2 linked regions of the Neodiprion lecontei genome follow. The protein of the gene in region 2 interacts with the protein of the main gene of each other region in a biochemical or structural test. Links are inferred from orthologs where the notes say so. Each region holds a gene or a part of one and is shown on either strand. Other genes may lie near its edges.

Region 1 (4,922 bases), on a different chromosome or scaffold from region 2:
CAACTGAAAATAAAAATATTATCAATTTAGATGCAAACTTTTGTATGAAGTTTAAAAATTAGTATCAGATTTTAAATTAATGTTCCTTCAAAATTCACAGTGTGTACAGAACTTATCACTGGAGCTAAGAAACAGAAACAGAAGCTGAAGGTGAAAGGACCTGTCCGTATGCCAACCAAGATTCTTAGGATTACGACACGTAAAACACCTTGTGGTGAAGGTTCAAAGACTTGGGATCGCTTCCAGATGCGAATTCATAAGAGGGTAATTGACCTTTACTCTCCGTCTGAAATTGTGAAGCAAATAACCAGCATCTCGATTGAACCTGGAGTAGAAGTTGAAGTTACCATTGCTGACGAATAAACCATTGAAATGAAATTTCAATAAAATGTTTGAATAAAAAATTAAAAATTAAAATACCTGGATGAGTCTTATTACCCCTTGTGCCTATACCGTATTTTTTAAGCAGCTCTAAACTTAGACGTGGGACGCTGAAAATTAGAAGTATCGAAGGAGTGAAGAATGGAGATATTAGATAAATTAAATTCATTATATTCTTATAATATTTTTCACTTTATTTGTAAAATCTTGTATCATAAAGTCAATGAAAGTGATTCTGCACTTGATAAAGTTACTCGCCAGATGCGGTCAGATAGAGAAGGATGAATACAAATTCGTTTGTGTCGCATATTGTTTAATCATCCTCCTGAGAATCGTTACCGCCCTTTCCCGCATCTTCACCTTCTTCGCCCCCACTGAAGTCACCCATACCCTCAGCTTCTTCTTCTTCATCATCGTCACCTGCCACCTCTGCATTTTCGAGTTCGGCACGCTCCATTTGTCTTGCCAACTCAGCTTCGTCAGTTGCTGTCACAACTTTCGGCTGAAAATGTAGTACAACAATTGTCAAGATCTCCTTGTGGCAACTTTGAATCTTTTGGTAATTCATTGTTCTAGTCAACAGAGACACATTTTTTTTGACTTTGTCATATATCGATACAACCGTGGCAAGATGTATTTAAAGATTAATATCTTTAAAAGCACTATCTCCAACAAGCTTATAACTGAAAACTCACCGCCATTTGAATGTCGAATACACCTCCAAGGGATATAATTTTTTCCTTAATCACCTCTATGGCATCATTCAATGCCTTTAAACCGTCTTGTTTCTCAGGTGTAGAGGTTGTCATGACTGGAATATAAGGAAATGAATATTGAATCACCTAATAATATATGAAAAATATTTAATGATATCTGGATTTGCAATAATTCAGTATCTAACCATCAAATCACATTGACTAATTCTTGTAAACATGCATTATATGCTTCGATTATTCAGAGTATCGATTGAGAATCCAAAAAAATTTCTGTAATTCACTTGTATTCTTCACCTGAAGAAATACAATTTTATAAAGAAGTTTTTCTGATTTGCAAACTTGAAATCAGTCAAAATCTTATTACATTTTATTACACTGAAAGTGTGAAGTAATTTAATACGTTACTGATTAATGAGTATGATAATCAATATTAATCAGATATGTACCATACAACGGAGGGGCTATTAAATTGATTTTGATCGGCAATTCTTCTGTCGTCAGAGCCAAGCCAGCTTTTAATGCAGTTTTGACAGCATCTATGCCTTCGTAACCGTAGCAAGCAACTTCAACATCAGCACGAATCTTGACGGCTTGAGATGTGAGTTTCCGCTTGATATTGTTCAACAATACTTCTTTAGTGTGATCATCCAAGCCACACTCGGCCAAGATGGAAGGGTCCCTGAAATACAAATTTTTTATTCACAGACTTCCCTTTAGTATTTAATTTTTTAAAGCAATTTCCTCAAACTCAAAAAATAATAATTGCTAATTGCAATCAATAAGATGACTCACAATACTGATTGTTTAAAGAAATCATAGGCTGATGCCTTCTGTTTTTTATATTTTTCTTCAAAGTACCAAGCTGTCTTCTGGTACAATTCCTCCAGCTGTTCGTCGCTATCATAATGCAATAGCTCAGCAACATGACGTAAAATCGAATTCACTGCCTTAGCTTTGGCAAATCGTTCTGTACATTTTTCTACATCTTCAGCAGATACTCGTCGTTTACTCAAGTCAATATACCCTTGAAAAAACATTCAATATTAAAATTGATTACATAAAGAATCAGAATGGGTAAGCACATTGAATTTCCTAGTTGAATGCATTGTTTAAGGTGTACCCTAAAATTTGGTGAAATTGTAAGGAAATTTGATGTGAATTTTTGTCTGCATTGTGTACAATTCTCAGATTCTATAAGGTTTTCTGAACATAGTAATCACTGAAAAACGCCGAACTGGCATTATGAGTATGGATTGGCTTAAATTACAATCAGCCATAAATTATACATACCTTTATCTTTGTCAACTCTGATGACAACAACAGGTTCCGTTTTTCCGACTCTGATGAGTTTGTTGATGGAACGAATACGTCGCCTTGACAATTCAGAAAGAAGAATCATGCCTTCGATATTATTATACTCCAATAAATGAACATAGGCTCCCATTTCAGCTATGCTACGTACATTGACCATAACCACATCTTCAACTTCAGGATATTTCTCCTTGTAAAACCGGCAAGATAACACCATATTGGCTGAAAGAAAAGATATAATTCTTTTATCACAGAATGTAGAGGGTTGATCTGATAGTTTGCAAAAGGAAAAAATACAATCTGTTTTGGAACAATAATTCTTTCAAAAAAAGTTGATAGCTAGACATTCTGCGGCAGGTTGTCATATACAACACGAACTTTGGAGGCGGGTTAGGTGAGGTTGTATTAATATCATGCAAACATTCCGTATGAAATTGATGAGAAACGTAATATGGAAGCGGTTAGCCAAATTTAAAGGTTATCTTTTAGGTTAGCCGTACGAAATATGCGTTATCTATACAAATATCCATCTGCGATTACCTAGATTCTATGAGCCTATGAAAATAGAAGTAGGATTAACTAAGGCCGAAGAAATTTACTCGAAACTGTAAACTCTATTCAAATATGCTTATAATCCATGTGGGATCGGGAATTTACTACAGACAGGCTGATGAAAGTGGCAAACAGCAGCTCTCAACCAAATTACCCACTGATTTCTGTGCTCTCAACCTATAGGGTAAAAAGTGTCAGTAACCCCAACCAGCGCCCCAACCGCACATTCTTATTTCGTGTAAAATCTGATTCGGTAGTTGCTTTCTACCGGGGACATCAGATAATAATTGTATTTATATGCATAGTGGAAGGCTCTTTTCTCATCATGTTTAATATGATAGAGAAAAATTAAATTCTAGGCTATTTAAATCGAGCATAGGTCTCAACTGTTTACAATCGCCGTGTCTCACGAATGAAAGACTTAATTTTCCGGTTAACTGTGACATCCTAACGCGGTGAATTCCGGACAAATTATAAGGTAGACTCACAATTGAAACACGAAAATAAGCTGGGACGTTGTTATATAAATTTTTTTGAAAAGTAGTTGACAGTAGAGTCAGTTGAGTAATCTAGAAAACAAGCAGGTATACAAATTTGTCATAAAAATTTTGAAATAATTTTCTACAATACAGTATTTTCTTTCTTCTTTTTGTCATTTTTAGTACCCGGTTTTGAACGAGCTTCGTTGTTTTGTTATTTACCGTTTGTCACGGGAGACTTGCTCGTTTGGTATGTAAATATCGTGTTTCATTGTAACAACTTGATCAAAGTTGATTGCGGATGAATATGATTCGACCCGAACAGTAGTTGATAGTTGTTTGATGCGTGACACGTCTGTGCGTGACACGTCTCACAAAAGGCGCGTTTGGAATTGAATTTACGAATTTTTGTAATACAAAAAATTCAAGAAAGAAATTTTACAATTCAACGATTTTAGTGGGTTGACTGCGAAAGGTTAAGCGGGGGAAAAAGATGTTGGAATTGCCAAAGTCTTAATTGCCAAAGCTATGTGCACCTTGTTGACTTGAATTAAGAAACGAAATTCATAAAAAAATTAATGTATTCACGTGGAATTCACTCTATTGCACTAGAGAAATCCGAAGGTATCACGATTCCACATGTGTTACATATTATCGAAGACTGAGTTAAATTTACACAACAATAAAGTTGCCATTTGACAAACTACAATATGTAAGTATTTGACCAGTGAAAATAAGCACACTTATGCTCGTTTCTACACCACAGCAAGCGGTAGAGCAGCCGGCGCGTTTTTTTTTTTTTTACGTGGTATCCCCAATAGGCCTACTCCACGGAGAATACTTGCAAGATCGATTTTACATTCTTCGAAACATTGCAAATGACTTTTTTTCACATGTCAATCATGGTGAATTGTTTTTCCCAATCAATTTGTACTCGTGTATATTCACAGTTTGTTCGACATTTTTGAGTCCATATAACCCACTGATTATTTATTATCGATGAAAAATGAATATTTTAATTATGAATGAAAGATGGTTGTTTTAATTATGGATGAAGAGTGACTGTTTTTATCTTAGATGCAAAAGGCGATTGACTTTGGATGTTCTCGCAGGTTTTTTTTTCATGACGTATGAGATAATCGCTAAATGGAGAACCTGATGAATACGCAAAACAATCAACAACTGAACCATGATCCAAAACACGAATCGCTGTAAGACGTTGACATTTACCTATCGGGAGATGATGCAGAAATCTTTGAAGAAATGGAAAAAAATCGGAGAAGAATAAGAACAACCACCAAAAAACGATCGCAACCAAAGACTGTAAAACCATACAAAAAACTACAGTTGAATAAATTTTACTACACTTTGTGATCACGATCATTATGAACTACATCGCTAAACCTATGTATCGGTGAAAACAAAATGACTAACCCTGAACCAGACCTAAGCCTAAAAAATGAGGCGTTAATTTTTCAGTATA
Region 2 (5,472 bases):
GAAATTAGAAAATCAATCGAAGTGCGAGTTACTGCAAGTACATGCGATTGTTATACCCCATGTAGCAAGGCAAAACATAACCAATAATGGAAAACTCTCTCGCGTTAATTTCACCACTGTAAACAATTGTAATATTTGATGTGTCACACCACGAACCTTTCACACTCTCTATTTAAGACGTAACTAGCGTTATAATAACGTTTGCAGCGAGCAGAAGTCACTTTTTCGGTGTTATTATTTTACAATCGGGTTACATTTTATCATAAAATTCAGCGCCCAGTTTTTTCAGTTTTCTTATTTTCATACAAACAGCATTCAAATAAACTTTCCATAACATGCATGTACGTACACTCCGCATCGAGGAACGTTTCTTTTTTTTATTTTTTTCAAATAGGCGATATTTTACCTTATATTCTAATGAGGAAATATATTGCACGAACTAAATGCGGTTAAAAATGAGACCGTTGTATCATATATCCGCCTACTGTCATCAACTGTCACATTGTCGAAGAAATATTCAGCCGCTGTGCAACTAAGCTCCCGACAAACATATCGAGCAGCAATATCCGTATAGTTTCGGTACATCCAATACCCACTCTAATACGGCACTACACGTATGTCGTACGATGTACGCATTCGTGCATAGAAATGGAATAGTCAAATAGTGTAGCGCGACGTACGGTTGCGTGCACTACTTTAACTCCGCAGGAACCAGCGGAAGGCAGCGGGCAACAACACCAACTGTTTTCTCCTCTGATTTTAGCTTTGAGTTCGAAACTCACGGTTCGAACGCGATTGAAATCGCCTGTTGGCGATTGGTAAGTACTTATTCGCCTTTGCGCAAGCGACTTGCGAACGGCGCAACTGCGGCTGGCGGGCGCCGTCGGTTCAATTCGATAACAAGAAACTCATTGCCCAGGTAACTCCTGCAGTCGTGACTGCGTATAACCAGCAGCGATATTTGACGAAATCAATTCGTCTGCACAAATTTACCGAATGAGCTAATATTCACGACCGTGCAATGATTTTTCTACGACTCAGACGCTCAAAATTAACGGACATTACACTTCCGGGAACTGGGTATAACATGACTAGAACATCGTGTGGTTCAAGTTTATCAAGTTTAATTACAGTATATAATTTGTAGTTATAAATCGGAGTATGGATATACTAGTAATTTTATTCGGATACGGATAAGATATAGTTTGGAATTACGTTTCAAACGACGAAAATAAACAAAAAAAAAACAATCACAGGGAATCGAAAGTCGTGATGTTGTCAATATAATAAAATTATTGATACTGCATACTGTACTGACTAGCGCTTAAGCTGAATGTATGAGATAACACATTCTTCTGACCCTAATTACGAACAGGATGCGACCAGAGGACATACAGTTATGCACTGCAAAGCTGAATTCCTTCTAATTCGACCATATTATTCTCAACGCGTACTGAAAATGAGAAATATAATATTTTCACGTAAGGAATCGAGACGCATTTTTCGAAGCATCATTCGTCTCAATATAGATGCATTTTGCCGCGTACTAAAGTAGGTACTCAAACTAGCCGGCAAGGAGTACTCGCATCTCGTTTTCACTCGTCAAATTTAACTGGAAACGACGTAGGCGTGCCTGAACTTCACTCTGATGAGCCGTCAGAGCTTCACGGACTTGTCGCGCCCTCAGCACGTGGCAGCAGCTGTCGGTCAGACACCGGATTTTGATGGAGGTTTCTACCAATCGGGTGCTTTCGCTTCCCACCGTATTGCTATTTTGCGTGCTTTGATTCGCCGATTGATCTCTTGTACCTGCATGTGGCACCGAGAGAATATTCTGATGCAATAGACGTCAGAAAGTATTTTTCATTCTTCCGACAAACCAGTTAAATATATTCTCGAAATAACCAAATTACGTACAAAAAGAAAAGTTCTCTGTTTCTTATCAACATGACCGAAGAGGATTCGGTATGTATTTAATGAACCAATATTTGTGACTGGATAAGGTTCACTAACAGTGCACAGATTGAATGGCACAACGTGTTCCCATTTACGCATTTTTCATATATTACACGCTTCTGTAGCCATTTATTCCCCCGAATGTGGTGAATATTGCTTGGCTTTACGTCCAGTTTACATGACTCGAATCAGAAATTTTTTAATAATACATCGCAAACACAACCTCAATCCTGTATCAACGTATCACGGATTTTCAGGCAGATTTCCATGCGTCCACGTGATCTGTGTGGTTGTGGTCTGAGTTACAACAATCATTCTTGATATCCGTGATAATTTGGATAAAGCGATAAAATAGAACTATAAACACCCTTCTTGCGTATTGCATGATGTATCATCCATTCATTTTTTTCCTGCGTAATACTTTATACCGATAATAATTCATAGGATAATCAATGCTTCTCAAGCTAAAAATATGCTTATATTTATTCATCGTCGACGGTACTTATATTTTTCTCAATAACAGTATGATTTTATAGATTCGTTTCCCCTGTGATTTTCACCATATAGATGGGACTGATAGTTAATGAAACTTAAATTTTTCAGATCTTTGATCCTACTATGAAAATAAAGAAGAAAAAAAAGAAGAAGACTACTTTCGATCTCGATGCTGCAATGGCTGAGGGCGGCAGCGGTGGTGAAGCCACCGAGGGCATCGGTGATAAGGAAAATCAAGAGCCAGAATTGGGAGCGATAGATGACGACGAAGGCCTTGATCTAGAAAATTTTGGTAAAAAAAAGAAAAAAAAGAAGAAGGCATTCAATCTAGATGAACTCGATATGGCTCTCCCAGAAAGCAAGAAGGAAGTAGGTGTTACGTGCCGAATGATTTGAAAGTTATATGAATTTTATTATAGCGATGAAATGAAAGTCTATAATTGTTGAATTCTTGTGTTCGCTGTTTTTATGGAACATGATTTAAAGATATAAAAACATAACACAAGAAATACATCTCGAAAGACATAGCTGCGATTTCTTGAGTGACTTCAGGATCGCAGATTCATTTGGTGAAGTGATTTGACATTTTGAATACTTACCCTATTATCTTAAGGATGGCGCAGAGCCAATCGGTGAAGATGGGCCTGCGGAAAGTAACTTTGACCTGGATATGGAGTTCTCGGGCAAAAAGAAGAAGAAAAGGAAGAACATTCTCGATAACCTAGTAGCTGAAGAGGAAAAGAAGGAAGCAGAAGATAGGGAAAATGGTAAGTATTGAGACTAAACTCTGAAAAAACTATTTTGCTACGAGTTGCTTATCGTGTATTCTATCTGTTAACATGCTTCACTGAATCTGAGCGAAGTGTAGAAACTGGTAAGACACGTTGGTCGACTAGATAACGACTAGTATTTGTTTTTGCACTAAAATGCTTGTTTTTATGCTTTCTTAGCCGTTTGTGTCACAATTCTACTTTCGCTGTTTAGTTTAATATTTACCTTTTCGTGTCACGTTTGTACTTGCTACAAAGTAGTAAACCAAAATAGGGAAGTATTAAATTTATATTTTGTTTCTCATGGTAATGCTATTAAGAAATTTGTTACCACTTTAGTCACATTTTGATGACTCTTTTCCATTGTACCAGTCGAGGACACCACGTCGTGGCTTGGTTCAGACAGAGATTACACATATGATGAGCTACTAGCCAGAGTATTTGAAATAATGAGAGAGAAAAATCCTGACATGGTGGCTGGAAAGAAGCAAAAGTTTGTCATGAGGCCCCCGCAAGTCGTACGAATCGGCACCAAGAAAACTTCTTTTGCAAACTTTACTGAGGTATTGAATTGTTTAACTTTTTGATGTAATAGTTTTAAAACTAAATGCATGGGAATAATCAATATGTCGATACCCTACTTGCGAAAATTTGAAACAAAGTGACTTTTTTTTTTTCCTTCTTTCATTTTTTCATAGATTGTAAGTATATTCTCGCAAAATATTCAAACCTGAAGCCCTCACCAATGAATTACAATTTGCCATAGTCTGCAGAATACCCTTTTGTCTGAAAAATTAAACGGACCCTTTATTATCTTTCCCAGATTTGTAAAACACTGCACAGACAGCCGAAGCACTTACTGGACTTCCTACTGGCTGAACTGGGAACCAGTGGATCTGTTGATGGCAATAGTCAGCTTATTATCAAGGGTCGCTTCCAGCAAAAGCAGATAGAGAATGTACTAAGGAGATACATCAAGGAGTATGTTACGTGTCACACGTGTCGCTCCCCTGACACCATATTGCAGAAAGATACTCGGCTATTCTTCCTTCAGTGTGAATCGTGTGGGTCTAGGTGCTCCGTCGCTAGCATCAAATCTGGTTTCCAGGTAATTTATGAACAAATTTTTCGTTTCATCTACTGGACAATATACAACAGTTGGTATTGACATTTGTTTTTTGCTTTCAGGCTGTGACTGGAAAGCGTGCGGCTATCAGAGCAAAAACGACTTAGACACACTTATGGTGATAATGAGCGCGAAAGAAAACACAAACCCAAAATTATCACGTACGTTATTATTCTCAATAGAAAAAAAGTTAAATAAAACATTCAATACATACAAAGAGCTGCTGAATCGAACTTTTACAATAATTTTACCGCGTACGTAAATGTAAAGAGTGTATGTTATGTACTGTACCTTTTGTCACCTTGTACATAGCCTTACTACAATAATAATAATAATAATCAAGGTTTTAAATAAAACGCTGTTCAAACTGCAATTCGTAAAAGTAATGCTAAGAAATATTATACTAAATCAATTTCCAACAGTTGCAATATATAATCAGATGAATTAAATTGATGTCATGAAGTGTTCACGTTCGTTTCTTATAGGTAATGTACACATCTGTATTTACTAGCCAATAAATTCATCTCAAAATCATCTACGTTGAATATTCTCATAAATGTTTCTGAAACTTGAATTTATTAATTTATCATGTCTAAGTTTAAATTCAAAATATCCGAACAGTGCAACGTAAGCAGCGATCAGGCTTCGGGTCAGGTTAAATGTACGCGACAATCATGCCATAATTACATTGTCACTACATGATATCGAGTGCATGGCGATATAAGTAACCAGTATGGAAATTTTCCACCGCTAAAATGACAGTTGTGAGTAAATATTTACAAATACATTGTACGAGTTGATTGGACAAAAGTAGAATATATTCATATTTATTTATGTCATGCCATAAATGTATTGTACTGAACATAGATCCAGAACCATTTTCATACTAATCGTCAATTTTTCGTTGACGTGATTCTGCGAAAGTGAGTGGTGGCGTCGCTGTATGTATAAACAATCGCCAATCGGTAAATCGTCGAGACGTCACCATCTTGAAAATTTACCTCCAGTTTAACCGCCGAAACTTTGCGTGCTATTCGCGTCTTGATATTCAGTCCTTGTTAAAATGAAAAAAGTTTGCAAGGATATTTCGGCCCGTATATTTGATCATTTGCGTGATGGGGAATT

Evidence for each region.
Region 1: the proteins of eukaryotic translation initiation factor 2 subunit 2 (region 2) and eukaryotic translation initiation factor 2 subunit 1 form a complex in vitro, tested with the Homo sapiens proteins (2 studies listed by BioGRID and IntAct). The link is inferred for Neodiprion lecontei from reciprocal best matches to the Homo sapiens genes EIF2S2 and EIF2S1.

Annotation. Positions count from the first base shown.
Region 1 is NC_060262.1:24,018,630-24,023,551, forward strand, and holds eukaryotic translation initiation factor 2 subunit 1, read right to left. Parts: upstream 3,109-4,922; 5' UTR 2,949-3,108; intron 2,631-2,948; 5' UTR 2,626-2,630; coding exon 2,388-2,625; intron 2,122-2,387; coding exon 1,890-2,121; intron 1,777-1,889; coding exon 1,544-1,776; intron 1,193-1,543; coding exon 1,077-1,192; intron 884-1,076; coding exon 695-883; 3' UTR 555-694; downstream 1-554. Other genes in the region: 40S ribosomal protein S20, read left to right, coding at 101-363. UniProt on the Homo sapiens protein: Member of the eIF2 complex that functions in the early steps of protein synthesis by forming a ternary complex with GTP and initiator tRNA. This complex binds to a 40S ribosomal subunit, followed by mRNA binding to form a 43S pre-initiation complex (43S PIC).
Region 2 is NC_060261.1:38,616,421-38,621,892, forward strand, and holds eukaryotic translation initiation factor 2 subunit 2, read left to right. Parts: upstream 1-1,792; 5' UTR 1,793-1,947; coding exon 1,948-1,965; intron 1,966-2,559; coding exon 2,560-2,820; intron 2,821-3,064; coding exon 3,065-3,218; intron 3,219-3,292; coding exon 3,293-3,325; intron 3,326-3,593; coding exon 3,594-3,784; intron 3,785-4,044; coding exon 4,045-4,329; intron 4,330-4,409; coding exon 4,410-4,454; 3' UTR 4,455-4,881; downstream 4,882-5,472.